4 linked regions of the Lepisosteus oculatus genome follow. The protein of the gene in region 2 purifies or fractionates together with the protein of the main gene of each other region. This does not show direct contact. Links are inferred from orthologs where the notes say so. Each region holds a gene or a part of one and is shown on either strand. Other genes may lie near its edges. The genes, in order: pds5b, smc3, pds5a and waplb.

What was found.
Region 1: the proteins of smc3 (region 2) and pds5b purify together in Homo sapiens (co-immunoprecipitation; 7 studies listed by BioGRID and IntAct, with this or other methods). This does not show direct contact. The link is inferred for Lepisosteus oculatus from reciprocal best matches to the Homo sapiens genes SMC3 and PDS5B.
Region 3: the proteins of smc3 (region 2) and pds5a purify together in Homo sapiens (affinity purification with western blotting; 8 studies listed by BioGRID and IntAct, with this or other methods). This does not show direct contact. The link is inferred for Lepisosteus oculatus from reciprocal best matches to the Homo sapiens genes SMC3 and PDS5A.
Region 4: the proteins of smc3 (region 2) and waplb purify together in Homo sapiens (affinity purification with mass spectrometry; 7 studies listed by BioGRID and IntAct, with this or other methods). This does not show direct contact. The link is inferred for Lepisosteus oculatus from reciprocal best matches to the Homo sapiens genes SMC3 and WAPL.

Annotation. Positions count from the first base shown.
Region 1 is NC_090700.1:14,803,410-14,810,598, reverse strand, and holds the start of pds5b (sister chromatid cohesion protein PDS5 homolog B), read right to left. Parts: upstream 3,002-7,189; 5' UTR 2,920-3,001; intron 2,492-2,919; exon of another isoform or gene 1,625-2,491; intron 1,608-1,624; exon of another isoform or gene 1,409-1,607; intron 1-1,408. Other genes in the region: uncharacterized protein, read right to left, coding at 6,080-6,197. UniProt on the Homo sapiens protein: Regulator of sister chromatid cohesion in mitosis which may stabilize cohesin complex association with chromatin. May couple sister chromatid cohesion during mitosis to DNA replication.
Region 2 is NC_090699.1:39,758,914-39,766,744, reverse strand, and holds the start of smc3 (structural maintenance of chromosomes protein 3), read left to right. Parts: upstream 1-4,819; 5' UTR 4,820-5,046; coding exon 5,047-5,061; intron 5,062-7,831. Other genes in the region: dusp5 (dual specificity protein phosphatase 5), read left to right, coding at 1-38. UniProt on the Homo sapiens protein: Central component of cohesin, a complex required for chromosome cohesion during the cell cycle. The cohesin complex may form a large proteinaceous ring within which sister chromatids can be trapped.
Region 3 is NC_090696.1:68,270,353-68,278,080, reverse strand, and holds the start of pds5a (sister chromatid cohesion protein PDS5 homolog A), read right to left. Parts: upstream 3,012-7,728; 5' UTR 2,828-3,011; intron 2,695-2,827; exon of another isoform or gene 2,600-2,694; intron 1,981-2,599; 5' UTR 1,945-1,980; coding exon 1,834-1,944; intron 1-1,833. Other genes in the region: n4bp2 (NEDD4-binding protein 2), read left to right, coding at 4,491-4,719, 6,055-7,075. UniProt on the Homo sapiens protein: Probable regulator of sister chromatid cohesion in mitosis which may stabilize cohesin complex association with chromatin. May couple sister chromatid cohesion during mitosis to DNA replication.
Region 4 is NC_090699.1:27,849,619-27,856,823, forward strand, and holds the start of waplb (wings apart-like protein homolog), read left to right. Parts: upstream 1-4,188; 5' UTR 4,189-4,327; exon of another isoform or gene 4,328-4,546; intron 4,547-7,205. Other genes in the region: btbd16 (BTB/POZ domain-containing protein 16), read right to left, coding at 331-436, 2,001-2,157, 2,481-2,538, 2,669-2,796. UniProt on the Homo sapiens protein: Regulator of sister chromatid cohesion in mitosis which negatively regulates cohesin association with chromatin. Involved in both sister chromatid cohesion during interphase and sister-chromatid resolution during early stages of mitosis.

The sequences.
Region 1 (7,189 bases), on a different chromosome or scaffold from region 2:
TCTCCCCGTACTAACCTGGAAGTGAAAAAGTGCATCGTATTAACCAGAAGTGCTCTATTCCTTCTCAACATAGAGAGCAACTGCAAAATCTATTTCTGTTGCCAGGGCTCACGAGACATGTGCCTGGGTTCACAAAGCAATCTAAAGGTATTTACACATCTGTAGCTACTAGTGTTCAAGATCTGCTGCATTCTTACTTCCCGGATGAGGTAGCTGTTTCACAGTTCAAGACAGCAAAGCACAGCAAGGAGAACAATCATAAGGATGGCCAACTTCAGCCCTTTGTCTGCTGGTCTTTACTACACTTCTGATCTTACTTTCTTAATTCACCTGATGATTCAGCTAAAGGGTCAAGCCATCTGTGACCGGAATACACTGCTTGACACCCGCAGGACGCCAGCCTTTGAGGATAGACGGAAGTAGTGAGACAGTTAACTTACTTCCCGGTCAACACTGAAACATGGACATAGGGTCACACCTGACAACTAAAAATGAAGAGCACTGAGGATGGAAACCAGGAAGAGCATCTTTACACCAAGCGTAGTAAGGGTCTTGAACAAACTATGCAGCTAATATCCAGAAGCTACGCAGGTTTTCAAGAAACAAGCTGAGGTGATTTTTGGATTAACAAATATCAAGCAACCACATAAGCAAGAGTTTCTCAATGGAAACCTCTTGTCGTCGAACAGTTCAACAAAATGGGATCACAACTCAAATTATCCACTTGTACCATTATTAAATTGGCTGATATACACATCCAAAGAGGTAGATTTGTATTCGAGTGGCTGATCATTCAACAGAAGCAACCAGAGTGAATTATCTTACCCAAGGATACAACAGTACTGGCTAACCCAGGACTTTTAACTCAATTTGCTATTATGAGTTGTGAGAACAGGGTACTAACTACGACTGTCGTTTCCCTGGCTGCTATCCTGCAGAAGCCATACAGCTGGTCAATCACAATCCTCGCACACCATTTATGATGATCACCACTTTATACAAAATATATTTCTGAGGGAATTTTTAACACTATTCTCGGGTTCAAAACAGGGATCCTCAGTTTTGGTCCCAGAGGGCTGGTATATGTCTTTGGGGAAAAAAAAACAGTTAAACAGAAGGGAGAAGCTGTCAAACTGGTGCAGTTATGAGCCACTGATGAGCTGGTTCAAGTCCTAACAAGCCCATCTGGACTGAAAACCTGTTAACAACCTATATCACACTTTTGATCAGGAAACAAGACAAACTGGTGGACACCGACAAAAGCTATTACTTTGTCTTTCATAGACGAAGCGCCTTGATGGACCCCCTAAGCTTTTAAACAAAATATCAACGTGCAAACTAACGTTAAAAAGCCAAACAACAAGAGCTTAGGGGTTTAACTTCGAGAAAATGTAGACGTTACTGTTACCTCCACGTTTCAAGTGGCGAATCCGGAATCCCCCCCTCCGACACCGGCAAAGGAGAAGACAGGTCAAAGCAGAATACACGGAGCAACGCCTTGCAAAGCCAAACACCACATAGAGCAACAGCCTTCGTTCGGATAAAAACAAAACCTTTACGGTTGGTCACTCTGTCGAGTCGAGCATAAGGTCGGCGGATTGTACACGGCGGTGAGAAAAGACACCTGAACACCGCGCTCTGGCGTCGCAGGAACGGCAGGCTACACTCCCGCTTCACCGGGTCGCCACGCAGAGCTCCCGCACCGCACCGACTTCACTTGTGGGGTCGTGCTCTCGAAAGGCGCAAAACACCGTCCCAGCGGAAATACGGAGGGGTGGGCGCCTTTCATCTGCCGAAAAACGACCCCCCCAAAAAAAAGAACGGTGCAGCGAGCGAGGTGACACAAATGCAACCCCGTCGCGTTACGTAATCTCCCCGGAGCCCGGCTTGGTTTCGAGAGAGGGGCTGGCGGTCGCGTTTCAAAACAAAGTTTTGGCGAGCTCTCCCGCACCACCCCGCCCCCAGCCTGTGCTACACGGACCGCCAAAACCACGCAAATTCCCTCCCTGCGTGCGAGACGCGTGGACCTTTCCGGGAGCGGGGGGGGCACTGCGTTCCAAAAGACGGGACAACCCGTCGCGTATTTCCACCCGATGAAAGCAATCGCCGTCCAGCCCAATCGTGTAGCTTCACGGGCACCAACAACGTGTGTAGCAGCAGGCAGCCGTGGCAGCCGATGGCTTCCCGGAGACCTACCGGACCGTCACAATGCCAAGATTAACCCAAACAACTGATCATATTTTCACACGGCCGTGCCGCTGCTGCTGCTTCTTGGTTTGGGGGGGCTGGGGGGGATTTGAGTTTTTCTTTTGCCACACCGCTAAATCCAGGGACTCGGTCAATGAAGACAAAAAAAAAACCCAAAACAAAACATGCACCAGCTTATCATCAACCGGATTCCGGTCGAAATCAAACTACCGCGAAACGCGCCACCGTGAAAACCGGGTCTTGAGGAGATTGTTATTGCCAGTGTTCAGTGCGACTGAAGCAGGCAAGCGCTAATTAAGGAAAACACACTGTCGTGGTACGGACACCTCTCACCAGGCCAGCTCTCATACACACGAGCACCGTCAAAACCGCAATACAATCACACGTTCAGGGAGAAATATACATGTCAAAGAGCATGCACGGAGCCCACATATGAAGTCCCGTCCTAAATGCAAAAACTATGTTTGCGAAATAAACATATTTCACATTTAGAGGCGGGGGGGAGGTGAACCCGTGGAGTCTCTTTCTCTTCCCCGGTGCTGCAAGCACCATACAGGCAGGAAAAGCGGACAGCAGCCGCCAGACAACAAACGCTTCTTTTAACAGTCTTTCACGCACTATTCTTTGCACTTCTAAGCACCCCTGCGTGACCATTGTTGTTATACACCTTTTGATTTGAAATTTGCAGCATTTGGTGTTAATTAATCCTACCTAGTTTGATGAATAACAGCCAATCGTGTCTTCTTGCAGCTCTGATCCTCCTCCTGGCTTCAAAATGGCGCCAATTTGTCTCCGGCTGCACCAATCGAGCCACCGAGAACAGACAGTCGCGGAGGCACAGCGCCACCTAGGGGAAGATGTCCAACAGAGCGCAGCCCCAAGTTCTTTCACAGACCCACAGCGCCGCCTGCAAGACTCTCTCCTTTTGCAGTGAGATAAATATTCCGTCCCTCTCACTTGACACACACCTTGCACATAAATTAATTCCAATTTCAGTGAAGGTTTTCACCTCGGGTTACACAGTGACTACTCCAGCATCTTCCAGACACAAAATGAAATTCACACCGTGTGTAGTTGCGTATTGTCACATTAATCAATCTTGCACAATTGTTTCATTTTGACCTGCAGCTCTGTATAACGTATTTTATGATGAAGAGTCACACTTCACATAATGATCATATACTTACATTTTATGTCTAAATTGGGGGGGCTTACTGACAGGTATTTCTTGGAAAGGTGTTCATCACGATAGGCTAAAAATCCCATTGGTTAAATGTTTTGCTTTAATCGTCTTTCAATGTATGCAACCATTACGTGTTGTTCTTTTCCATACATAGTGCATTCGTAGTATTTAAGAAATTCTGTTTTAAAAATACTTTCATTAAATCTATGTTGTTCAGACCTGTGATGATTCAGAATACTGAACTACTTGATAACAGAGTGCATTTATCCCAGTACCTTTATTAATACCCTTCTGGCCGATTTGCTCCATTCCATTATCTCTTTGCTTGTTATTTATTACAAATGGTTTAGCCCTCGTTCACAACCAGTACTTGTTAATTAACTGGATTTGACTTAAGTGCCTAAATGACTAAATAAGAAGCAGAAGTGCCATATAGTAATGGTTAAAAATACATTCATTTTTTTGTAAAATTGTTAAATTCACCTTTGAATGGCGTTTAATTCATTGTTTTATTCAGCTATATGTGTTTTGTATTAAAAAAAACAGACATGGAAACAATAATTATTCTTGACTGGCAGCAAGAATGCGTGGCTCAGAGCAGGAAAGCAGAGGTCCCAAATTGGTCCGATCTGTGAAGTCGGAAAATATTCATCAATGTATTCGTAATATATTGCATGCAAAAAAATCTATTAGGATTCTCAAAAGCGAAAAGGCTGTGTTCATTTTAAAATATAAACTTTAATGTCAATGCGTTTTTAAAAAGTGATTTAACAAACCTTTGAAAGCCTGGGACTATTTCATGTCATTGCTCCTGTTTTAAAACATTGGTTTGTATTGGCTCTTAATTTGCAGGAACCTCTTCAACCTTTTCTTTAGGACACAGGCAGCCTTTACTTCCTGTGCTCTGCTTTCCAACTTTCTCCTGGATTCATGTGGCAGTAAACTGCCTTTGATGCATCTGAATAGATTTAGGTTTGCTTCGGTTTTGACCGGCGGTTTAAATATTATTACGTTCGAAAATAAATCCCTGGACAAAACAAGAAAAACGTATAAAATATTTGCCTTCAAGAAAGTTCAAAAATGTCGTCTCATGTCATTTGTCAAAGCCGCTTTATACCATACGGTGTCGGGGGAAGCCGGAGCCTACCCGGCAAGGAACGAGCGCAAGGCAGGGTACACCCTGGACAGGACACCAGTCCATCGCAGGGCAACTTCAAGCCAATCATACAGGGGGACAATTTGGAGGCCACGGTAAAGGCCGAGGGGGGGAATTTGGCCCCGACACCGGGATAACTCCCTACTCTTAACGAGAAATGCTCGGGGATCTTTAATGACCACTGAGAATCAGGACCTCGGTTTAACGTCTCGCCCGAAAGACGCAGTGCAAGAATGTACTTGTGAAAATGTTACAAAATTATTTGTTTTTATCCGAGGAACAGAATGACTCTGGAATCAGAATCATACATTAAAATAACGTGATGTATTTATGTAAATTGGTAAAATACTTAAATACTTAAAACTTTTAAAACAGTGTGAGCTACTGTACTTCCATTCATTAATAAAAATCTTTTTTATTTCTTTTAGGGTTTATTATGCCACTGACTGCAATAAACAGGTTTTCAGAAAGGCTTACTTGAGAGTCTGTCTTCACCATTTTCTAATGACCATGTTTCTAGTTCAGCACTTCTAACTTCCTGTGTTTCTAATATGTGTTCACTTTGTAAATTGCTGTCTTTATAACTTTTGTTTTACACCTAGTGCACAGCTCTTTGACATGCTACGTTTATAGGAAGTACATAAAAATGTTTATTATTATGTTACTGTGCAATAAACATTACTTAAACATTTCAGAAACACAAAACAAACAACAAAACTCCAAGTATTAATGGTGTATTTAATCTTAGAATTCTTGAAATTACTGTATTTTAAAATAATTTATCAAAAGAATTGATCATTTTTTTTAGTAGGACTTTATTTAACAGTAACAAACTGGTCAAAATATTCCAAGAGTACAAAAATGCAATATAAAACATGAATAAATGGGTTAATACTGGTAGCTCCTGCAGACTAAAAACAGTTGAAAAATATATAACCTAAAAGGAAAAATCAATGTATTGGAATGAGAAAAGTCTTTCACATAATACTGAAATTAACCAAATGGTTCCACATTAGAAGGTTCTTTTATATCACAGCTGTAATAAATAATAAAAAAAATAATTTTTTAAAATAATTAGAATTTCCAATGGTAGATCTGACATATTGAAACAGGCAACAACTCAGAACAGGACAGTATCTCAAGTTTAGTTTACACCTGTTAGCCTTCCAGTCTACTACAAAAAATAAAATCTACCAAACTGTTTTCTATGCATCAGATTTGTAATGCCTAAGAATTCTAGTGAAACTTATTTCAAGAACATCAGAAATCAGATTATCTTCTATGTTTTTTGTTTGTGTAAAAGAACAAAACTTTACCTGCATAATTAAAACTCCCTTTCATTTCCACACTTAAAACCCATTGCAAATACTGCAAATACTCAAAGTTGTTATATTTAACATAATCTGAAGAAAGAAATATTCAAAATTGTACTTTTCTGTGCCGATGTATTAAAAACATCCAGCATCTAACACATTAGCCAGAGGACAGCGTGGCAAAGCCTTGCTGCTATACTGAAGGTTTTTAATCGGATTTCAATCCTGACATTTCCAGGGCTCCTCGGAATTCAGCACTTGCCATTGTGATCTGACCATTTTGAACTTCTCCACCATGTTCCCTATGACCCTTTCTGGCACTCTGCAGCCGGATCTTCTGTTTCAATGAAAAATTGAAATGCTTCACAAAACCAGCATGATTTCCAAGTATCCTGGCATACCCACTGCCTCTCACGTGCACAAACACAAATGCATTGAAGCTGGAGTGCAGAAGATGGATAATGTTCAACACAAAGACATATCTGATTCCGTTCAAGGCTTTCTAAGTCAACGATACGTGCAGTTGACCTACATAAGCAACATTAAACCAGGAAATAAGACAGCATGACCCTCAGGCCTGACTTTGATAACCTGGCAGCAATGACTATCTCTGTAGTGGATGGCTTTTGTACCAAGAGTGATTCTGAAGAAAAGCAGCACACTTGTACAAACACGGAAAGAGCTTATACGAAAGCAATACTGGTACTGGAAATTCCGGTGTTTCATCAATTTTAGCAAAATAAGAGACTGTTCATTACTGTGATTGGTTGCTGAGTAACTATGAATTGGATGGAAGGAGCAGAATGTTCCTGGTACTGGGACAGGAGACTTCTAAGGAAAATGAGGTTGTTGCTCTAACTGGTGTAGGTGGCACTCTTGGATGAGAACGTCCAAACGAATGCACCAGAATGGCGACTAGGGACACAGCTTGAGTAGATGCTGTCTTTCAGACAAGCCAGAAATCTTGGCTACATGTTCCCATTAAGGATCCCATGACAAGCAGGGGTGTTAGCCTTAATATTCTGACTGCATCCCAATTAAAGTTTGTTCAATCTGGCCTAACTACATCTCCTCCTTTAATTCACTTGACCTGCTGTGTAGTGGGACAGCTGGCGCATAATGGGTGCTGCAATATAGGAGGGATAAATGGCCCCCCTTCTGCATGCAAAGCATTTTAGGATATCTTGGACTTCATTAATATTAATTATATCTATAATTAATTATAATATATCTATAACCACCTACAACAGTCAAGCCACTCAGAAGCCCCACATGTTATGTTAAAGAAGGCCAGTGTAAATTGCCAATCAATGCAAGAAATGTTTAGAA
Region 2 (7,831 bases):
ACCAGTTAAAGTTGAGCCCGATCAGTGCATTGCCTTAACCTGAAGGCTGACGTCTCCTAAGATTACTTGAAAAAACAACAACAAGTCCACGAGCTCAGATCCCCCCTCACAGACCCTGAAAAGGGGTGATGGGAGCGTGGAGGAACGAGAACTTTCTAAGAACGGCAACTGCAGGGCCAACAATGACGTCGTTGCTGTCGATATCCATCCTCATCTCCACAATGAAAAACAAAAGACAGTGATACACTGATGCTGCCATCTTTGATCTGTATTGTGATATCAAGTAGGAAAATCGCCTTACTATGATGATGTGAACCTTATTGTGCTCAGAAAGCCTGTGCAAAGACAAGCAAGTTTTATTAATTTATTAAAATGTTAAATTACGTAATAACTGGCAGGAAGTAATTATACTCCATGCCTTGTTGGTCTTAAAAGTGCTTTTTTAAAAAAACAACAACAAATATTTATTTTGCTAAAGACAATGACGTGGAAATGCTAATAAAGTAATTTGCCAAATGGGACATGGTGGTGTTGTTGTTTTCTAACTGGGACTACACAGAAATGAAAAATTAATCTGAATGAATTAACAGCCTTGGCAATTGAAGTAAACAATCACTTAATTTTGAAGAAGGCTCACTTATCCTGAAGAGGGCTTCACGGCCGAAACGTTGTGTTTTCTCTCTTCTCTTTTCAGCATGAAATAAACCTATTGTTCCTTTGCAGACAATGCATGCTGACGCAGCTACCCACCTGAATCACTTATTTTATTCATTCTACAACTCACACTCAGGTTATCAGAAAGCTTTTTCCTCAGAATCCTCCCTAGGATGGTTTGTTCCTTTTATAGATCTAATTTAAATGTATTCTGCTTGACACCCTAAAAAGGCAAGCCAATTGTTGCTGCATTGAATGCATGTCGCAGTATTAAAAAACAATCCTGTAGTTTCTGGTTGTTCTGAGGATTATTAGCTTACTAGACCACTGGCTTATTGCAAGGCAAGTAAAGTGAGTTAAACATCTGCACACCTGATCTCTTTTACAGGTGCATAGGAAACAATCACTGACAGAAATAAAATGGAAAAATTCATTCGTGCTGTGCTTTGCATATCTCACTTTATTCCAAAAATAGCTTGCATTTCTGTTTCCAGCCTTTAGCTCTGCGTGCTTTTTTTCTTTCGTATTTCCATAAAACACACAGACAGGCACAAAGCAAAACAGATAATTTAAGCAAGAATAATACAGTATGTTCAGTTATTTCACTGGTGCAACTCCGTGTGACTCAGACATGATCCCTTCGCAGCAAAATGACACAAAATGAGGTAAATGATCCCTTCTTGTGAAAGAAACCAACACATACAGTCTATAAATGGTCAAGCACTGATAGCAACCTAGTAGCTTACCAAAATACATGCACAACAAAGACATCGAGAAAAAGAAACGTTAACCTTAACATACAACTTAGCAAATAAAAAACAAGAGGAAATTAAGAAGGTCAAGAACAAAGACGATTCTGAAACCGAAGCAAATTTGGGTATTTTATTTTTCGTTTTTATTAATTTAATATTGATATCAACTTAACAAGGATGTAAAGAAGTGAAGAATGGAATGTGTTGCTCATATGCATGAATTGGACACTAGCACATTCTGATTTTTCAGAAGGCAAGGTAAAGTCAAATCTTGTCTTATAAACTTCACCTCTTGGTCACTCTGATAAAGAAAACGTGCATCGAAACGATTTGTTTTCCTGCAGGACACTGATAGAGTAGGTCTGGTGTTGTTTGTGTATTAAAACAGCTGCGTAATGGAGTGGAAAATTAATAGTTTTTTGTGACTTAAAATGTATTTTGTAAACTGCAGAAACCTAATAACACTCCATGGAATATTGCCCACAGCATTCCTTAGACAGAAACATATTATTCCAGCAGCACCTTTGTAAAAATAAGTATCATAATCACATATCCAGTTTTGTTTCTGGACAGAAAACTAATCATTTTAAGGGTGTTCTCTAACAGAATTGACCTGTGGTAAAAAGCTTTTTCTTACATCTGTAGGTTCGGAAATTCTTTGGTTTGCAGATCTTTTGACTTGGTTTATTCCACGACACAAGCCAAATTCCTGATTGTGATGATTTACACTAGAAAGGAGAACACTGACGTTTGAGATGACATAAAAGTAGGTATTGTGGATTAATGATGTGCTGCGGGGTGTGAAAGAAAAGAATACAATGGGCATGTTCAGCCCTCCTTCAAAACTATGCAATCAAACTGTAGATTGTTTGTGTCCTGATCTGTTTTGATATTTTTCAACATTTTCCCATTGACGTTTACCTAGAAAGTCACCCCAGCCCACAGACAGTTACGTACGATTTGCTAAATTGCAGTCTGGTCTTTCTCTAAATGTCATGCCACTTTCATTTGAATCTGTGAAACACTGTGCTGCTTTTGCAATCTATCAGCACAACAAATGGTCACATATATCACAAAGTCTAAATGTAGAACTGTTTGACAGACAAAAGCATCCTATCTCTTCCTCAGAGCATGTCCAAGTCACTGTGAGATAGACCTAGTCACAAGCTTATTTATGCTGTTTCTGTGAAAGGCTTTTATTTTCCTTATTTTTATTTTGCTTTAATGATAACTTATTCCTTTATCATCAAACAAAAAAAGCAAACAGTGGCATTTTTTAAATTTCATTTTTGTATAGTCATGATTTATGCTTTTTTGGTTTCGTGCTCTAATGCCAGCTGTGCCAGTGGAATGCTTCTTTACATTAAAACCACCTTGAATCTTTCATTTAATGTCAGCTTAAAATGAGCATCTTGTCACCCCCCTGAATGAGCATATGGCCCTTCCCAAACCCATATAAAAAAAACTGCAGTGTATGTGCCTGCTCTGTTTTGTGCTTTGTATTCTGCTGCATGCATACCTGGGTTATACCCATGTAGTGGCTGTTCTTTTGAATATGGCAGTGCTACTATAGGGTACAGAATGTACTCACTACCACAAGCAGTGGATTTTGAAATACAAGTTCTATGGCTTTAAAAGGGTGCTAATTTACGACATCAGTGCCTTGTACTTTCATTTAAAAACAAATGTGAGATCATCTTGGTAAACTTTATATGCATTATCCCAAACTTTTGGTTTTTATTTTATTTTTGCTCAGTGGTAGGGGACCACTGCTGGCAAAGATGTTGGATTTACAGAGAAGAGAACATCTGCAGCAATCTCCAATGTAGCGCAGCAATAATGTTAGAGACTAGGGGTTGTCGGCGTGGGAAACTGTCAGTCCAGAAGATATATAACACCCTTTCCAAACTCCCTCGGAGTCCACTTGATTGTTCATAACACAACCCACCTTTTCGACTTTAAGCATGTGCTTAAATGCGTTAACAATGAAAAATAACTCTAGAATCCCATGACAATGAAACATTCTCGATGAAACGATGTTAGATTTGCGCCATATTAAATACCTCTCTCTTTAACTATGTTAATTTGTATGTTTTCTAGCCATTAATTTAAAATGTGACGTCTGACATTTGTCATCTTACAATACCTGTCATTGTACTTGAAATTTCAGTAAAACGATTGGACTTATTAAATCTTAAATCCAAATCTTGAAATATTTGGGTTTTACGGCGTTTATTACACATCTAAGACAAAACTATTACAATCTGAGAACAGTAAACAGCGCCACCTGCACCCTAGTCCTTATACTTTTGCAAACGTTTCCTTTCACGTTTAAAGCCAAAATTGCATTGACAGGAAAACGGTTTTGACAGAGATCCTTAGAATGTAGTTGCAAGATACAGTAGTTTTTTTTTCAATTACTCTACACATCAGGCCCTCAGTATTTTTGTAAAATAACATTTTGAAGCAGTAGTTGCAATGGAAACGACAAGACTTTTGGATGGAGTGGGTAACAGTCGGCTAATGTAAACAACACTTATTAATATATTTTCATTGAAAAAGCGTCTTTCGCTCTGCATTTATTTACAAAATGGAACAAAGTTCACACCACTTTTTCACGGCAACCTTCAATTGCTTCTACATGGCCAATGGCTTTATAGCAGATACGGGGAATGAAACGTCCTCAGAGCACATCTGGTAGCCTGTTCAAGGTTTGCTGTCGGTGAGGAATCATCCGTGTTTATGTAACGTCTACCTGCCTGATTTGTATTTTTTGTACTCATTTTTCTTTGGTCTAGAATTAATATCAGCATTACCCATCTTTATTAGCCCGCATTTATGTTTTTGTGTAAAACGGACGTACATAGGTACACATCACATTGATTACAAATCAAAACTCTGTAATCCGTTCGGGTTTTTTTTTACATTGGCGGGAACGGGAAACCTAAAGTAGTATCTCGCTGCCAACAAAGATGGCTAAAAATAATCCATAAAATCACTTCACGACTGTCGACATGTAAACAATGTAGATAAAGAGGATTTGTAGTATATCTATCACCGCATATTAAATGTCTAATAGTAAAATGTAGTTTAAAATAACATTGAATTCAGTTATACAGTATCGACTACAGTAACGCAGTTGAACACACCTCAGACTCTGCAGCTTTGGCGCCGAACCTTTCACCTTATGTGGTGCATACCAACTGTCACACATAGGGTGGGTGTTAAACACTAATGACGAGAGCTTTTCTTTAATTAAATTTCATAAACTTAAAATGATATTCTGGAATCATACAGAATTATTTTTGTTTACAAATATTATTGACGTCCAGTGTCCGCCATGCTTGGTTTCATAATTATTTAATTTAACCGACCTCCCCTACACTGGACAATTCAAGCATACCCAATTTGCTCCCTCCTCCTGTCGCCATCTTGGTGCCTGTTGTTTCTGTGTTTTCATGGGGGGGGAGAGTTTGCTTTTTCCGAATAGTTTGCTTTAAATAACTTCATTCTAACCATTTATTGATTAAAATTGATAGCTTTTCGCTCCTTCCATTCGGTGGAAGGAGAGGAATTTTCCAGTTCCCTATCGTCTCGTTGATTTGTCTTTTGTGAGGGAAAATTACCTGGGAATCCGAACATGTACATTAAACAGGTACAGTAAAAACTGCTCTTCTTCTTTGGTGGAGAAAAACGTATTCGAGAGGGAAATTAGAAACAACGCCTTTCAGATTAGACAGAGTTCCTTTGCCTTTGTAGCTGTTGGTGACTTGAATAAAATTGTGAAATGGTTAAAAATAGTTGCAACTTGGGCAATGAATGAGTTGACGTCCGTGTTTACAAGCCTTCATCGGGTAGACGTTGGAGTTTCTGTACGTCGGGTTTGAGCCTTGAAATACGACGGGAATACTGTAATCTTTTTTATAAAGGGGTAGTATGTTGCTTGCTGAACCAATATTGTTTTGCAACCAGGAGTTCGTCAGCTGAAAGAAGTAGGCCTCAGGCTATCTAAATATCTGCAGGAAAAGGGGATTTTTTCAGAGATGAGTGCTTAAACTAGCTTTCTTAGATGGCGAGCTGCTGCTGTTGTTGTTGATTCTCTTGCTGAACATTTGGCTTGTGATGTTTCTGTGCTGAATGACGTAGAACGATGGGAGCAGGGGAGAGGGCTGTCACATTGTGTGATCCGGAAAGACAAACGAACCGAGGAGAAAGTTCAAAGGTCCATCCCGCATCCCAACACCACCGGTGTTTCAATCTAAATGATTTAAAAACAAGTTTCAAATCTTAAGAGTGATTTGAGGTCCGAAAGTCTTCAAGTGCTTGAAGTTGCAGCCTGTGTTGTATCTACCCAAGTGTGCAGTTTCTTTTGCCTAGAGGCAGGTTAAGCAAAAGTGGACAGTAAACCCCAGCTCGAAATGAATACTGTTAGCTTTACCTGGGATCATACTTGCAGTACGTAGGAGGTTTTGCTCCGAACGTGACTCTGATATCGAAACTCATCGGTAGTAGCTTGGTAGTTGATAGAAGCGATGACTGCATTGTGTTTGTGTGGGTGCTTGTGAGGGGGTTCCTGGAGTCCATGAACATCCCCCAAACTGCAGCTCAAGGGTGATTTATGAAATTCAGCAACTATTGTGCTGGAGTTTGAACCATACTGGTTTTAAACATAAATGCCGCTTGCCATTTTGGGTGCCAAAGAAGCAAATAAGAAAGTAAAAGCAAAAGCAAAGTGTGAGATAAAGGAAAAAAGAATTCAGAGCTACAATTTCACAGGTTACAACAACATCCTTTTCAGAGAGAAGAGGTAATCGGGGAATTGAACATGGGGTTCAACAGATAGTGTCTCGGACAACTAAGATAAGATAAGATCACTTTATTGGCCATATACAGTTTCCTGCATTAGGAATTCATCTTTTTGCATACCCCAGCTTGCTCTCCATGAGACACAGACACACAGACAGAGAGAGAAGCTTGGTGTCAGAGCGCAGGGTCAGCCATTGTACAGCACCCCTGGAGCAGTTAGGGTTAAGGGCCTTGCTCAGGGGCCCAATGGAGTAGGATTCCTCTGCCGGCCGTGGGATTTGAACCGGCAACCTTCCAGCCACAGGCGCAGATCCTAAGCCACAGAGCAACCGCTATTTCTATTTCTATTTGCACTATTTCTGATACACATGCTTTTACCAGTGCATGTTAATACACACACACATTTATTACATAAATCAAAGAAGTAGAAATCTCTAAAATCCTATGGTTTTTACAAAAATCTCTATAGTGACAACGTGAGACACCTGATAGTAGACGGCAAGCATTTCCACCAAAGGGAAGCTAGATGGCTGATATAATGACTTAAGTCAACTTTTCTATGTTGAATAAACCAATATGTCTGGATTTTCTGAGAGAAAATACAATTAACACATTTCATTTAGCACAGTTTTAAGTATATAATACTTTGCTTTATTAAGTTATTGAAATGTTATTATTCATTATTGAATTATTATTCATTTTTGTCATTTGAAATATTTTAAGTTGAAAAATTGAAAGACTGTTTGCCTTTAATGGTTGGTTTCAGAAATTGAAATTGAAAGCGTTCTAGAATTTAGCATAATCTCTATGCAATATGATGGGTGTCACAATTTCTCCTGAATGTTTATCTTTTCAGGGTGGTGCTTAAACACTGACAATGCCTGTAAGATAAGTGTCTTTCCCCCCTGTGTAAATTAACCAGTTGTTTAGAAAACTATAGAAACCCAAAAATTGTAAAATAATTTTTAATTATAGGTGTGTTTGAAACATTTTTTCTTAAATTGAATACACATAAAGTGTATTAATAAATTGTGGAAACTAAGACCTGAGTGTTGAAATTAAATGCCTGGTTCAGTAAATTAAATTAATCAACAGCTCTTTTGGTACAAAAAACATAAGGTGCTTGGTACACTAGGACAAAGGCTGGAGAATTTCATCTAGATGTCTCCACTAAAAGTGCTGTTTTCATCTTCCTTCAGTAATTACAGCTTAAAGCACATGAAGTCATTCTATGTGGCTCATAACATGCAGTGTCTTGAAATTAACTATATTTGAATTGCAGATTTGATTTAGTTCTTTGTTTATACGGGTAGTAGAAACTGATGTAGAGGTAAGGATTTGAGATTGTAGCAGTGTATGAGAACCAACCTGGGTGAACTTCCAAAATTATCTCTACATTTACTTTACCATAATCCCTGCTCCAAGAGAGCACCTTTTCAGCACCTCCCATTAAATCATACATTTAAAACATTGCTGTGATCAGTTAAACAGGTGACAGTCACAGTAGTGATCTGACAATTAGCAATCTTTTAGAAGAAAAATGTAATGACCCTTGAGTTTCCAAGGGTTCTTAATTGGTATAAATCTTAATAAAATCAATTCTTAATTGAGAAATCACT
Region 3 (7,728 bases), on a different chromosome or scaffold from region 2:
CGAAGAGAACGCAAACTAGGTGCATTAAACGGAACGAGAGCAGATCCCCAGACACCCATCAGTAGAGAAGATCCTGATGTTTGCGCCATGTTAAGCCTCGTAGTTGCCGATTTGTAGACATGAGTTTCAGAGAGCCACGGGCAGAGAGCTGCACAACTCTTGAGACAGGTGCACATCTAGACTTCATCTGCTTACCAAATAACACTCAGGGCACTCTTTGAAAGTAGGGGGGCGTTAACCCTCTCTGCTTGGGCCTTGTACAATGTTGCCTGCCTCAAGCTCTCTCCTTAATTAAGCTGAAGGACCTGAAAACGTATCCACCTGTCCTGCTCTGTACATAGTCACGTGTGTCCCAGGTGGGTGCTGCACTTCAGTGATGAAGCAGGTCCCCTCCTGTACGTCAAGTGCTTCAAAGACTCTCTCGCATGATCAGATCGATATAAAGGCAAAGCCTTGTAGCACCTGATCACATGGTGCAGCACAACTAGGCCCAGTACATACACATACACACAGCTATTTCCCGAAGTAACAACAGGTCAGCAAAGGTCCTGCACTCTTAATGTTTAACCGAGATTTACTGCAGGTTCCTTCCTGTTCTCCGTGGGAGCCCCCTTGGGTGCCATGACAGCCACCTGCAGCCCTAGACTCCGGGTAACCTGGCCGAGAGAGGACCAGGCAACATTCCTCCAAACTGGCTCAGCCCAAGTGGTTTTGTGAGCAAACCCCAGTAAAGGTGCTTCATGCGACTGCCGTTTTGAGTCACTATTAAACCGTGCAGAGACACGATCGCGTCCACCCAGACACCTTCACTGGCCAGGAAGAGAATTTACCACACAGCACATTCAACACACAGTGCCGAGTGGTTTAGCTCGTCAGCTCGTTGTCTGACCAGAAGGTGTTACAGCCCAGTCCATCATCGAAGTATAGCTCCCCTCTCTTTCGGACATTTTCCACAACTCGCTGTTTCAGGAAGGATGGAAATATCGCTAAGGATACCAGTCATCCTGGTTCCTCCTTTGTCTCCCCCCTTCCCTCAGGTCAGCGTTATAGGAGCATAAAGGCACAAGCTTGCAGATTCCGAGACAGTTTCTTCCCACAAGCCGTCAGATTACTGAACTCTACCGCCACCCTGGGCTCACACTGCTGGTTTTTTAAGTTGTATGTTATTTAACTTGCTGCTGCTGTTCTGTGTTTATGTTTTTTTGGCGTTTCCTTAACGTCTTTATACTGGAGCATACAGTACTTGCAAATAAGCACTTCATCGCACTTGTGCACATGACAGTTAACCGAACCGAACCACCCATTCAACGACAGTAATTTCTCAGCAGCAGCCTCTGTCGCATGTTAAAGCTTTCCAATTGGGGGAAAAAAGCATTACAACGTAATTAATCTCCTCATGCGGGAAAGTGGAAAAAGACTAAACGTTGATTAAACTGTTCGGGTTCTAGTGATTTGACATTTATACATATAGTATACAGGCTTCTTTATTTCTACACACAAGCCCAGTACCGGTGGGAGGAAAATACTGCTGATATTTCATAGAAACTCCTAGATTCACTAGTACCTTTGACCTCCCTGAGCAGACAGCTTGTCTACTCTTTTGCAAACGATTCCTTCTCTAACTATTAAAGGTGTACATCTGCAGAGTGTGTTGCCTGCAAAAATAAGTACTTTCACGTTACAAATGGACATGTATATGAAGAAATCCTCTCCACACGTGTACGTAATGCTGCATTATGTAATTATGTAGTCTTTGCGATGTAGTCCAGAGCGAGCAGGCTGAACCAGTCTTTTTATTTTCTTCAAGACGCCGGTGAAAGGCCCAGTGCTTACCTTTAACCGCTTGACGACCTCATCGTTGGTGATCTTGTCGGTGATCTCTTTCACCCCGGGCGGGTAGGTGATCTTGCCGTCTGCGGGTCTGGGCTGCTGCGGGAACTCCATGCTGTCGGCGTCTCTTGCACAGCGCGCTACTGGCCTCTATCGGTCACAAAACAAAAGTTCACCAGCACGAATGTACCGCACTTTTCACCCCATTTTCAGCCTCACCCCCCCCTCCTCCACAAAACGAAACAACACACGGTTGATCAAGCCAACGAAGGCCCCTTGGATTCTCCACAAGCCCCGGATCCGCGGATCACCCCTTCCCTGAGAAAGGAAAAACATCCTTAAAAGCCCCCAGACGGGAAGCAGCTCCGGCTCCCTCTTTCATTCCCTCTCGGCGACCAATCAGGGTAGAAAAGTAAACATTTCACAATGAAACGTGATCGAAAATGCACTCTCCCGCACCCGACCCCCCAACAACAGGCGCCCGATTGAGATTTTCGGCGCCGGTCGCCCAAATCGCTCCGGCAGGCAGCGAGGGGAGCTCCCCAGCCAGCCCCGTCCTGGTAAATACTGGGCCTAGGCGTTAGGCCGCAAAACTATTCAAATTACACACGTTAGCGAAGAATAAAAAACCGGCAAAAATAAGAACGCGGCGCTGTTTGGCCCCCTTACGCCAGCCCTGGAGGGGGGAGCGCCGGGTGTATCGCCGCCTTATTTCCGTGGCACGGCCGCCAACTTCTAATTTTTGTGCGGGAAAACACCACTCATTTACTTATTGTTTGTTTCTTCAACTTCGGCTCCGCAGTCTCTGCCTCTGCCCACACAGGGCACCGTCGCCCTCCCTCCCCGCACGCGCCTGCTCGGGGGACATCGCCGGGGAAGAAAAATCGAGACATTTTTTTTTTTTTGGGGGGGGGGGCGCTGCTTTTCCCCCCTTCTCCCCTCTCCCCTAAAGCGAGAGCCCCGCAAGCCGGTGTTATGGTGTTGTTGTTTTTTTTACCTCATGGATGTGCCGTGGCTAGCGCATGAGCCGGGTCTGAGGTGGTTTTCCAGTCCCAACAACAAAAGCTCCGGCAGGCAGGTCCCGTTCGCTCTCGAGTCCCCCCTCCCCGGGTGAGAACGGAGGCGCAGCGCCACCCAGCGGCGGAGCGAGGCGGGGCGGGGGGGCCGAGAGAGGCGGGAGTCTCTCCGCCGAGTGACGTCAACGCAAACTTCCCCCTTTCTTTCCGGGGCCCGCTACCGTACTGCCGCGCATACGGGCGCACCGACTCTTTCCGCTACGCCCGCCGCGCAGTGCAGTGCAGGACCCCGAAAACTGCAGGCGGGCACGACTTTCGGCGTGCGTTGTCTTCGCTCCGAAACCCTCCCCGAGGGCGCTATTTAAGTTGGGACGCAGGTTTTGAGCATTTCTGCACCTACGGACGGTCTCATGTTGTGACAAAAATGCCGGCTGGCGTAGTACACCCTTAAAATAACCAAGGTTTCCCCACCCCCACCGTGGTTTTTATTGCATCTCGGACCTTAATGATTTAACTGGACCAATTTCAAGTTGTTCTTGAAGTCTTCGAGCGGTTTCATATTGACAAAGGAAAGTTTTAGACCCACCAGTCAATTTTGTTTTTATTGAAACTCGCAGGAGCCCGGGAGCACTCGAGAATCGGTGTTATCCGAGACAACTTCGATAATACATTTCTGAACACGCAATAACACACATTTTACAATCGGTACACACACTATGCCCCAAGTGTTGATTGTACACCTACGGAACGATTATTGGTACTGCTCAATCATCCATCACGTTTTAATGCGAAGAGGCTGATTATAAATTCTTCTTCTGATAACATTCGGACTAGTCTGAAATGTAGGCGGGTGTTATTTTTGGGAGGAAACTTTTGTGGAAAAACTTTATGGATTCGCTTCTTTGTCCGTTTACACGGTACACCGAACCGCCCATCCCAAGTGTTAAAAACAAACCTTTAAGTCCCACCTCAGGAAAAAAGTGACAGCGCCGACTAATGGACACGGCAGTGTATAACTTCACTGCTATAGGGATATGTAGGCACATCATTCAAATCTGAGTTGATCATTACAGTTTTAAACCAAATAGGACTAATTTGATGGTTTGAGTCTAAAACTATGGTGTCTTTGTCTTTCACATACCAAATACACAAAATATACTGTTTCAGCCCGTCGTTACACAATCAGATCCGAAAGCGGAAAGGCCTAAACGAGTTTAATGTGCTGACTAGCAGGGAATAAAATCAGGAATTCAGCTGTGAAAGCGTGCAGATGTATTCGGGTTCCCCTGCAAAACGATAACCAGGGCTGTCTTTTACCGAAACACTGTTCAGACCTGATAAATAAAATCGACCGGGTGACTAACAGCGACGAGCTTCCTCGTGGGATGGAGTGTCCTAATTTTGCAAAAGCTTTGCAATGTCCTTATGAACATGAAATGATAACCTGAACTAGAGAAGCGTCGATATTTCTGTCCTGGATACGGTGTAGCTACAGGGCGCTTTGCTCACACCTCCCCGCTAGGCGCGCTCTAGTCGAAGCGCACGTCTGGTTTCAGGCCACACGCTTGTTTTGATCGTGGTGTTGATGGCCTCCGCTGCCGTGCAACCCAGAAGGAGTGAAAGTTAGCATTGTGCGCCCGGAAAATGCCTCGGAAGAAGAAAAGCGCCCAGAGCCCGGCCAGGGTGCCGAACCCGAGCGCCGGCGAAGGCGGCAGCGTTACGGGGAAAGACGGAGCGATGTCGCGGAGGTTTGGCACGGAGCCCCCCAGCTCCAGCTCGGGCAGAGAAGAAATCCTGAACCGCATGAGGGAGATGTTTTGGCACCTGGACCCCGAAGTCATTTATATCGTTCTGTCCGAGTGCGATTTCCAAGGTGAGCGCGGCGCCTCGCTGGGCACGTCCGCGCACCCAGGCTCCCCCACGGGAGAGCCGCACATGCCCTGGAAATCGAGGCTGAGGGCCCGGACGGGGCCTAACCGGTGCTGCCCTCCACCCTCTGACAGCAGTGCCCCGCACTGCAATGTAAACAAGTCTTACAATCCGGCAGTAGATGTTTTTTTTATATATATATAAATCGTCTCGGCAGACTTCAAGTTTCGCTAAAGCTCGCACGGACATGCACGCTTCATGACCACATCTGAGTATTCTCAGATTTATCTGGTCAAATGGTCAAATTCAACCCACAACAGCACAGTAACGATAGTTTTAAGTTGTCCCATCCAAGAGAGTTTCAGGTTGTCCCACTTTGCAATAGCCGTGCACTGTTTTTCGGGAACGGAAAATTATGAGTGGACTGTCCACGTTGTTTGAGATGTGGGGTATTACTGTATTTATCCCAACTGTTGCGTTTGACATTAAATCAGTGGGACATGTTGCATGTCTTCAAATCACATATTTCAGGCTGTTGTCCCGCAGTTTATCGGTCAGTGTCAGGAATGCTGAAATCGGCGAATTGAGAAACAGGTGCTTGCTTGTTCAGTTGAGGTGTTAACACCAGGGATCAGGTCAGTCCCTATCAGCTGTATATAATCAACCATCTTATGGGAAGTTGTCGGTGTTGCTTTTTTTTGACGGACCGATACTTTGTTTCAAATAGTAGTTTTCAATAATAGTTATATGTTTTTTACATACAATTTAAAAATTGGTACAGTTACAAGATAATAACATTGTGCGTTTCTAGATAATATTATTTTTTTACATAAAAATGAAGACATTTCAAAAGCACAACCCCCTAGCTATTTTAGGGTCTTCCGCGGGGAACAATGTTATTTCCACTCAGATGAAGCATGAAGGTGTCTTTTCCGAGTTAAATAACACCTTTATATTTTGCCAAATGTTAAAATCCATGCAAATATGCCTGGGTCCATACTAAACTCCTGTCAACATGCATAGCTCAGTGGCACAGAGGATTGCGAATTATATAGGCAAAAGGTGATACTTACAGGTTGCATGTACAGAGATCAAGTTATTGAAGGGATAATACGGCCATTCCTTGATTCATGTTCATAAGGGAAAAAATGTGTGAAATGAAATTCTTATTACTTTACACATAAAGCCTTACGATTTGCTCCCATGGTCTAGAAAATCGCCCTGCATTACTCTTTTGTACCCCAGCCGAGCACCGAATAACCTACGTAAGAACACTATTGCTGCTGCTGTTACCCAAACGGTTAACAAGGCTGACTCCTCCTGTTCCCCTGTTTCCCAGCTGAAGCGGCGATGGACTCCCTCCTCATGCTGTCTACCGCCGCGGAGGGGGCTTCCCCTGCCTGCTGCCCCCTGGGCTTCGAGTCCACCACGGCGCTTTTACCTCCCGGCCCCCCAGCTGGGGCCCACGCCTCCCGAGCCGTGGAGACGAGCCCCCCCACCGTCGCCACCGCCGCCGCCTCACAGGCCAGCCTGCGGGACCTGGACGCGATCGGGACGCACCTGACCGAGGACTTTGACGAGCTGATAGACAGTGAGTTCCGGGCTCTGGCGAAGGAGCCGTTCGACGGCGCTGTCCAGCCTGCCGAGGATTCGGGTGTCAGCAGCGAGCATCCGGGGCCGATCATGTCCGGCACGGCCAGCAGGTCCACCCCAGAATGGCAGCAAGACAGGGGCAAGGGCCCCAAGCAGCAAGAGCTTGTGCCAAGCTGTTCCCCAGCGAGCGGGCTGAGTTTAACCGGGGCAGGGTATTGCCCCGGAGAGACCACTTTCCTCGACTTCAGCCACCTGGCGCTGGAGCCTGAGAGCAGCAGGCAAGCGGCGCTGGACTTGGGGGATAGCGGGAGACCCTCTGCCTTCCAGGCGTACAAGAGCTCCAGACCTCCTCGCGCGCCCCCTGCTGGTGGTGGGGAGGGCAGCAGCCCGAATGGGAGCGAGCTGGGGGAGGCGGAGCAGGGGACGGGCCACGGCTCGGAGACCCGCGCTGCGGACCGGTCCCTGAGGTCGCCGGCCGCGCCCGTGATCTGGAACACCCAGGCCCCGGAGTTCCAGCCGCGCAGCAGAGCTCCCGCCTTCGTCACCCCCCTGGCGGCCGATCCGGGGCACTGGAGGCCCGGTTCCGACCCGGGAGCCGGCGGCCGGGCGCCTCCCTTCAGACCGCCCGCCCCTATCCCAGCATCCCGGGCCCTGCCGGCGCCGCCCCGGCCTCCACTGCACGGCTCTGGGAAGATACCGGTCCTGGTGGGCCGGGTTCTCGTCCTGCTGAGGGGTGCGCCCGGGTCCGGAAAGTCCACCTTGGCCAGGTACTGCTAGCGCGGAGGTGTGCGGCCGGGTCAGCTCGCACGTTTGGAGAATTGTTTCATTCCGATAAATTGCTTAGCTTTGCAAAGGCGTGTGCGCAGGGATTGTCCTGTGCCAGTCTCTTCAGTCGGGGTCATTGTGATCCTTGATCCAAAGAAAACCATCTGTATCGTCTCATAATCCTTTCCAGGCCGCACTAACACACATATTGCTCACACCACCCAACAGGGTGTCGTCTGAATTTTTTTCTGAAAAACAGTCTTTTCAGCTGAGCACAGAGACCAAGGGTGTCGAGTGGCAGGAGATAAGTGGAAATTACGGTGTGATGAGATAAGGACAGAACTGTAGGCCCACAGGTATTTCCAGGGACGATGCCTAATGCCCTAAGAAATTAGACACAATGCCTAATTTCTCATTATTGAAACAAGTTTTTCAAAATAAAGCCAGTGCATTCTTCAGTCAACATTGGGAGATGGGTTTCTGTACAACACTCTTTTTTTTGCTCTTTGTGACCTGTTGGGACCTGACACTCATGCTAGTAGATAAAGTCGATGAGGTCAGTATTTGGTCTTCAAATAAGAGGAAGGGAAGATTTTCAGTGGGCAGTGACAATAGACCGCAGAATCAAGGAGGTCACAGGCTAGAGATCACCTCC
Region 4 (7,205 bases), about 12 Mb from region 2:
TTCTCCTAAGGGATTGCTAAACACAGAAATGATTAAACAAATTAAAGCTGTCATCAATCGATTAAACACATTATTGCCGTCATATAAGGCCTTGGCCTTACAAGACCATGAGGAATAAAGGGCTTTTATTTTTTTGCTTCACATCCCAATGGTCACTCTCACCATATTTTCAACACTGATCACAACCTGGACCACTTACTAGCTCTATAATCCAATGGTCTGAGACACCGTTCTGTACAGTATTTTGGGGGGAATTTCAAAAGTGGGAGAAAGTCGAAGTCACAGTTAAGCGTTTTTATTTTTTCTTGTGTTTTTTGGGGGGCACTGTACCAGCATGTCTGGTGTGTGGGTGTCGCGGTGCCACGCGAGAGGACTAGGCGGGGCAGAGTGGGCTCAGGGCCGGTGGGCTCCTCACACTCACAGAACGGAGAGTCAGCTGAAAGACAGACAGGAGGCAGGGCGGGACTTAGTCAGGAAAAGACGAGCCTGTTTCATGCAGTGAGTGTTCCCTTGACACCGAGCTGCATTTCTCCAGAGAAAGATTCAAATGTGGCAGTCTTTTGCTGTTGCCCTCAAAAAGAAAAAACTCCAGCTCATTTACTGTCCTTGAATTAATAACCATTTTCAAATGCATTGCTCGTTCATAGATATAGAATCTACATACTGGAGGAATTTCCCTTAAAATCAATGAGTGCATAACACAAAACCAACAAATTGTTCTTTAGACATATAAAGCAAACGAGTACAGCATATCTTTGCCTTCATCAGTAATAAAACCACAGAAAGGTGAGGTGCATGTGTTCGCGAGTGGAATTCAAATTAACGCCGCTCATGATTCTTGCGCTATTTTTGCCAAGAACGCTAGTTTACATATCCCTCCAGCGACGGTGGACGTTTGCGCGTTCGTGTGGTGCCTGAGTGCGAGAGCCAGCCTCCAGATGGCCCCTGGCAGCAGCCTCCTGTCAGATCTCTACAGGTGCGCGCCAACCCTCCCCTCGTCAGCCCCACACAGGCTGGCGTGCCTGGCACCGGCCCGCGCACTCAGCCCGCCTGACAGGCAGGACTCCTGGCACAGGGACACTGGCTGCAGGGCAGCCGGCACAGTGTGGCACAGGCAGACTTCAAATGGCACAAGTTGTACACACCGGCTCTTTGCTTCGGGGCATTAAAGGTTCTTGGTGTGCGCGCTAGGATGGCTGCCAGGAGACTTTAAAGACTCCCGAGTGGTTTGCTGTTCCCTCTCTTCACGACGACAGCTTCTGCAACGTGCCACCGCAGAAAGATCAATTCAGCAGCTTTTGAAGTACTGACGTCTTCCTCATTTCCCCCTTTTATCTCTTAGGACTTTGAGCACCCACTTGTTTTCTGTTGGCAGGTTTAAGACGGAATCTGTCTGTCTTCTTCTTTCTTGAGAAACAAATGTAAAAAAAAAAAACGTGGAAAAAAACAGCGTCCGAGGTATAGAGAGACGACGGGGAAACGAGGCAGGGGGAAAGCGCTTGGGAACACCCTGCCGGGTGTGTGATCGGACAACCGCCGCGACAGTGAAGAGACCTGCCGCAGGCTGTCAGGGGCGCTGGAGCTCCGTCACACCTTTCCCCTGAATTCAAACTCTCCGCACGACAATATTAAAAAGAAACAAAAACAGTATTTTATTAGTATAAAACAGTATTTCTGCCTCTGTTCTCAGAGAAGGGTTTCACGGCTCCCAAAGCAGAAAAACAACAGAAGCGAAACTCAACCTGAAACTAGGTTCACACCATCGACTCCCTCTGAAGCTCCGCGTTGTGCTCTGGGCTGCCGGTCGGAGCGCAGGGCAGTAAGGAAGATTCCCCTCACCTCTCCCGGTGCTTTGCCCTAACCGTGCTCCTGCATCAGTACCCCCCGCGGAACAAGGGCACCGGGGCAGGGAACACTTCCGGCGGGCTGAGAGATTTCGACCAGGCCTGGTGCGGAGGCCTGCAGGGGGACCTCCCAGCGCGTCTCGGCGCGGTGCCCACCTGTCCTGATGCCGCGCAGAGTGGCGTTGATGGTGGCCCGCACGGCCCGCGCGGCCTGCGCCTGCCCGAGCAGGTCGCTGCCCAGCGGGAAGGGCAGCTGCCAGCGGTTGGTGTTGCCGGCCTGCTTCCTCAGGCGGCCGCGCGGAGAGGAGGGCACCTGGGGGCGAAACACAGTCACTGGGGGGGTTCTGGGTGACAGAACCTGCGGCTGAGCGCTACCACCATCCTCCTCCTCACTCTACATTACCCCCTTGTTCTTCCTTTCAAACACTGTCAAGCGAAACAGAACACAAAAAGGACTGTAAATGTTCGTATGAATATCCAGTCCTTTGTTTCCCCGGCTATCCGTCCCTGCGAGTGTTTTGTGTTTCCACAGAAGACTGCTTTGAGCTGGTGCATCTGGGTCTAAACCTTGGCACAGAGATCTACTCGGGGCTTCTCTGTTTTGTTTTCCGAGAGAAAACACCAAAGAGCTCTTACCCTGACCTCTTCGGAGGGTTTGTCCTCTAGCGCTTTATAAGGAGCTTGCAGCAGAGATCTGGTGGCCGAAACAAGAAGGACAATAACGAGACATTATAGGCTGAACTGCAGTCCCCAAAGAACGGCTTTTTATCGGAGTCATTGAACAGCACCCCACCTGCAAAGCACAGTCCAGGCGTCTCACTTACATGATGCAGGCAGCTGCTGGCGTCATGTGTGTCGGGGGTGGGTTGGGCACGAAGGTGTTCTGCAGCGGATGACCTGGAGCGAGCCGAGGAATAGTGCCGCTGCCGTCCCGTGGCAAAACCTGAGCCATAGTCCAAGATCAGTGGGAAGCTTGAGGCACTATTTTTTACCTGCTTCTTCAGCTTTTGCGGATTGTGATAGTCACGACCCCGCTTCCCGTTTAATCACTACCACTGTGTCGATGGCTGTGTCCTAGGAGGCGGTAGGAAGTTAAGACGCTATACTTTGCGACGTCGCTGCGGTCATTCGGAACAACGTGAGACTGGCAATTGTTTCGCACGTGACACGGGAATTCTTCTGTTCTGGACTGTCATCCCCCCCACGGACTCGCTCCTCTCCGTTCCCACGACAACAGAGACGCGGTGGCTATGGAAACCTGCTTTAGACAGATTGCCGCAGTGATTAAAACCACTTGCTTGTAACATCCGTCCTTCACAGCAGTGGAAAAAGTGTAGTGTTTCAGACTGATATCGGAAGAGAGCAGTGAATGGGAAAATTAACATTGTGTAGACATTCTAAAAAAACTATATCGCATCGTACTATATCGTTTGTCAATATCGCCAATCAACCTCAAAAAGTTAATGCTATTCAATACTCATTTATTTGTTTTTCTATACAACATGGAAAACACAACAAAATACAATAACTAATATAACTGTCGTGGTTGCACGGGTGATGTGCAGTTTGCCTTCAATGTGGTTATAGATTTATTTTTTAAGAAGGCGAGTAAACTACTTCTCGGGTGCCAAGAAAATGTACAGATGGAAACTGTTCAAAAACCTCGCCACAAGAGGGCAGTAAATACCACTGTATCGTGACAGCAGACCTGGGGAATTCAATTTTCCACAGAACGCCTCCCTGTGCCTAGCGCCGGTGCTTCGCAAACTGGTTGGTTTTAAAATATAATTCAATGCAGACATTTAATTCATTCATCGCATATATTCAAGATTTAATAGTGCATTAAAAGGGGTGTCAGAATTTTTAAAATACAGTCTTAATTTCAAACGAAGAGGAACAGTTGCAAATGAAATAACCATTAATGCACTTGGTGGTCTCCAGTGTGAAGTCACTGATAAAACCAAAAACATCGACTGACCTAATTTTTATTTTACTCGGATCTAAATATGAATATAATCCAAAGGACAGTCAAGGCTGATATTTGTACGCGCAGCTATACGTTGAAACGTAAAAAATTGAGGCTGCTAGGAGTTAACAACGTAAACCCAAAGCATTTCTGAGATGTGTAAATAAAGGGGACAAAGCAATATGTATTACATAATCTTTGCTCTCCTAATGTTGCTTTTGATCACTACAGATCCCATCATCCCGTTGAATTTACGTATTAACGTCTCCTTCTAGACGCTTCGCCCTCCCCCTCTCTCCTCTTTGATTTCAATCTTAAACCGTTTCCTTCTGCCGTTGGCCAATCAGATCTTCACTCACTGGGACGCAGAACGGCGGTTTAAGCACCACAGGGCAGCATTGCGCCTTGTGATTGGACAGACGGCAGCTCGCTGCGAGGTGACGGTGGTTTTGGCAGCGAAGGAAAGAGGGAGGGGGGAACCCGAATGGCAGTCAGCGGCGCAGCCGAAAAGAGTCAGGCGAGTTTTGAGATAAATTAAAATAACAACAATAGAACTTTGAAAACAAACTTTGCTCGTCCCTGGTGACCCCGGGCTCGCTATACTACACGAAGGGATAGCCGCTGGTGCCGCTGGAAGTAGTTGCCAGCTTGTTTATATTGTGTGAGGGGGCCGAGAGAGCAGGAGGCCCAGTCGAGTGCGAGCAGAGGGAAGCGGCCGCCTCGGAGTGTGAGTGAGGTGAGTGGCCGGCCCGGAGGTTTCCAAACACGGCCTGGTGATCTCCGAGTAAACGGGGGGGTGGCTGTTGCCTTTTTTTTTGACGCAGGTGCGATCGCAGCGACGCAGCCAGGCAGTACCTTAGCGAGCGGACGCCCCCGGTCGCGGTTAAAGCCAGAATCTGTGGGGGCTGGTGCGCAGGCAGGCAGCTCGGCGAGTTTCAGCCCAGCCGTGCGGGCTGAGGAGGGGTGTAAATAACGGTGTGGAGATAAGCAGCTGTCAGGCCTGCGTGCCTCGCGGAGCGAGCGAGAAGAGCCTAGCCTCAATCTATGTCTCGGGTAGCATTTAAAGATTTCTTTCGAAAGCGGATCATTGCGATTCACGTATCGAATAACTTGAACAATGACCTGCGAGAACTGCAAGTTCAATGAAAACACCGTGACGTTGGTCGTGTTGTCGAAAGTGGGACATTGGGGCGAATTGTCATGGACCCAGGGCAGGATGGGGGAGTACAGCATTAGTCGTGTTTTCTCCCCGTGTTGACACGAAAGCTAAGAAAGCTCAATATATATTTTCACCGATTCTTAAAAATACGGTGTAGAAATAAAACCCCTGTAAGTGACGTTCGTTTTCAACACTTTAGCTAGTCTTTAGTGCTTTTATGGTTTGTAGGCCCGATGGAAAACAACCGCTTCTTTTGTATATTACCGTTATGAAGTTTATAGGATCATGAGTTGAGAGGAGTACGAACTGATCGTGATCAAGTACACATCTGTGAAAAGCACGGTGACGCAGATATCCGGCTTTCAGTCTCCACATTAATAGGATCGATTACCGCAAACTCTCACGCAAATTGATTATTGCCAATCGAAGAGAAAGTTCCGGTGCGTGCTATGTTAAAATTAAACGCTGTTTGCTTGACGGCCAGTTACCACATTGGTTGAATGATTCTTCAGTCACGTCGCAAGACTGTTGTAAGTTAAATTTAAGAACAGTCAGCTTTAGTTTAAGAAAATAAGTTGTAATTTGTACTAGTTTGAAATGCATCGTTTTTACGCTTTGACAGCCCAAAACAATGCGCTCGGGCTCACGCATGCGTACTGAGAAGAAAATCGATCCTGCCTGTTGTATCCAAGTTAGCGGATGGCAAGGTGATTTAATATAACTGTATATGATTTAATTTTACAAGCAAAACATGAGTTGATTCAGTATACAGGACGTTTTGGTTTTGTTTGCTTGGTCTTTGTTTAGAAGTGAACGGATTTTAAATGCTGTTGGTCATAAGATATTTGATGTCATACTTGGTAATGTACAATATTTGAGCAGCAGGGTTACTAATTTTAGTAGTTTTTCAAAAACAATGTTGCGCTTCTTAAGTAGTATTACGTACGGAAAACCATCATCAAGATGCGTTTTATATTGTTTTTCATACAGAGTGTCAAAACGGTATAGTGTTTAAAAGCATGTAAATAAACCTTTTTAAAAAAATTATATAAGAGGTTACAAACAAGAAGGTGCAATTCACCTTGTCTAGCACAAGGCTACTACTTGTAGTAGCTAATGATCTCAGTATCACCTTCAGGTCTTTCTGGAGAGAAGCTATTATATCAGCTTCAGAAACGTTACTGTTATGGGCTAGCATGTTCCAGACGTCACAACTCTTAGTACAAAAAGAACCTTCGGTTTTCAGTTTTAAATGCACTTCCTCTTAGTTTCCATTTTTGTGCTCTTGTTTGTGTTTCATGATTCCAAAGACGTCGATAGGGAAGACTGTCAGCTGCAGCAGTGAGATAGTGAGATAGAAAAAGAGATTTTTCTATTGACAAAGTAGAAAGTACTATTCTGATTGTTATACTTAAAAAAAATACCGTATAAATAGATACCACCCTTAAATGCAAGTTAAAACGTTTTGTGAATGTGAATTGCTACCCAGTTTGACACATTTTCTTAAGTGGATTACTACTTTTTGCTTTTCTGATATGCAACAATCTTTCTAAATTGTAATCTTGCAGGTTTTTGTGATCGACGTTAGTATTGCATATATCGGATAAAACGGCTACAAGAAAAAAATCAAATGTTCCTTTCTTACACCAGACATAACAATGGAAAACTGAAACATTTCTCTTGTACAGTCTTGAACATTACATGTATTCAGTATAACTAACTGTAAAATTCGTACCCAGTATTATAGAACTTTCAGTATTGCGCAACTAACTTCTCTGCTACGTTTGGAAACAAAATGGAGAAGGGTGCTTTGGTACCAAATGCAGTGGAGTATTTTTAAGATAAACAGTGAAATATTTAAACATTTATAGTGTAGCGATTTCTATAATGTCACATTGAATAGGATACCTGAAGAGAATATGTGGGAATTTGGATCAGCATTTCAATATTGGAAGTGCATTTGTCACCAGGTCACCAGCTACGTGATATGCTTTGGCAATTTAGTGTGCTGTTTTTTTCTGGGGAAATTTTCACCTAAGCTGTGACACCTCGTTTCTCACAAATGTTGTAAGAGATGACCTAACATTTATTTGAAGCCATCTACCTGTGAGAGATTCTCTCTGCATTTGTAAGTTTTTGCCCTTCCATGGCAAAACTGAATATTATGGAATTTGGATCGCAACTGCAGGATGTTCCAATGCAAATGTGCTTTGAAATACAGGCTTGCCACTTCAGA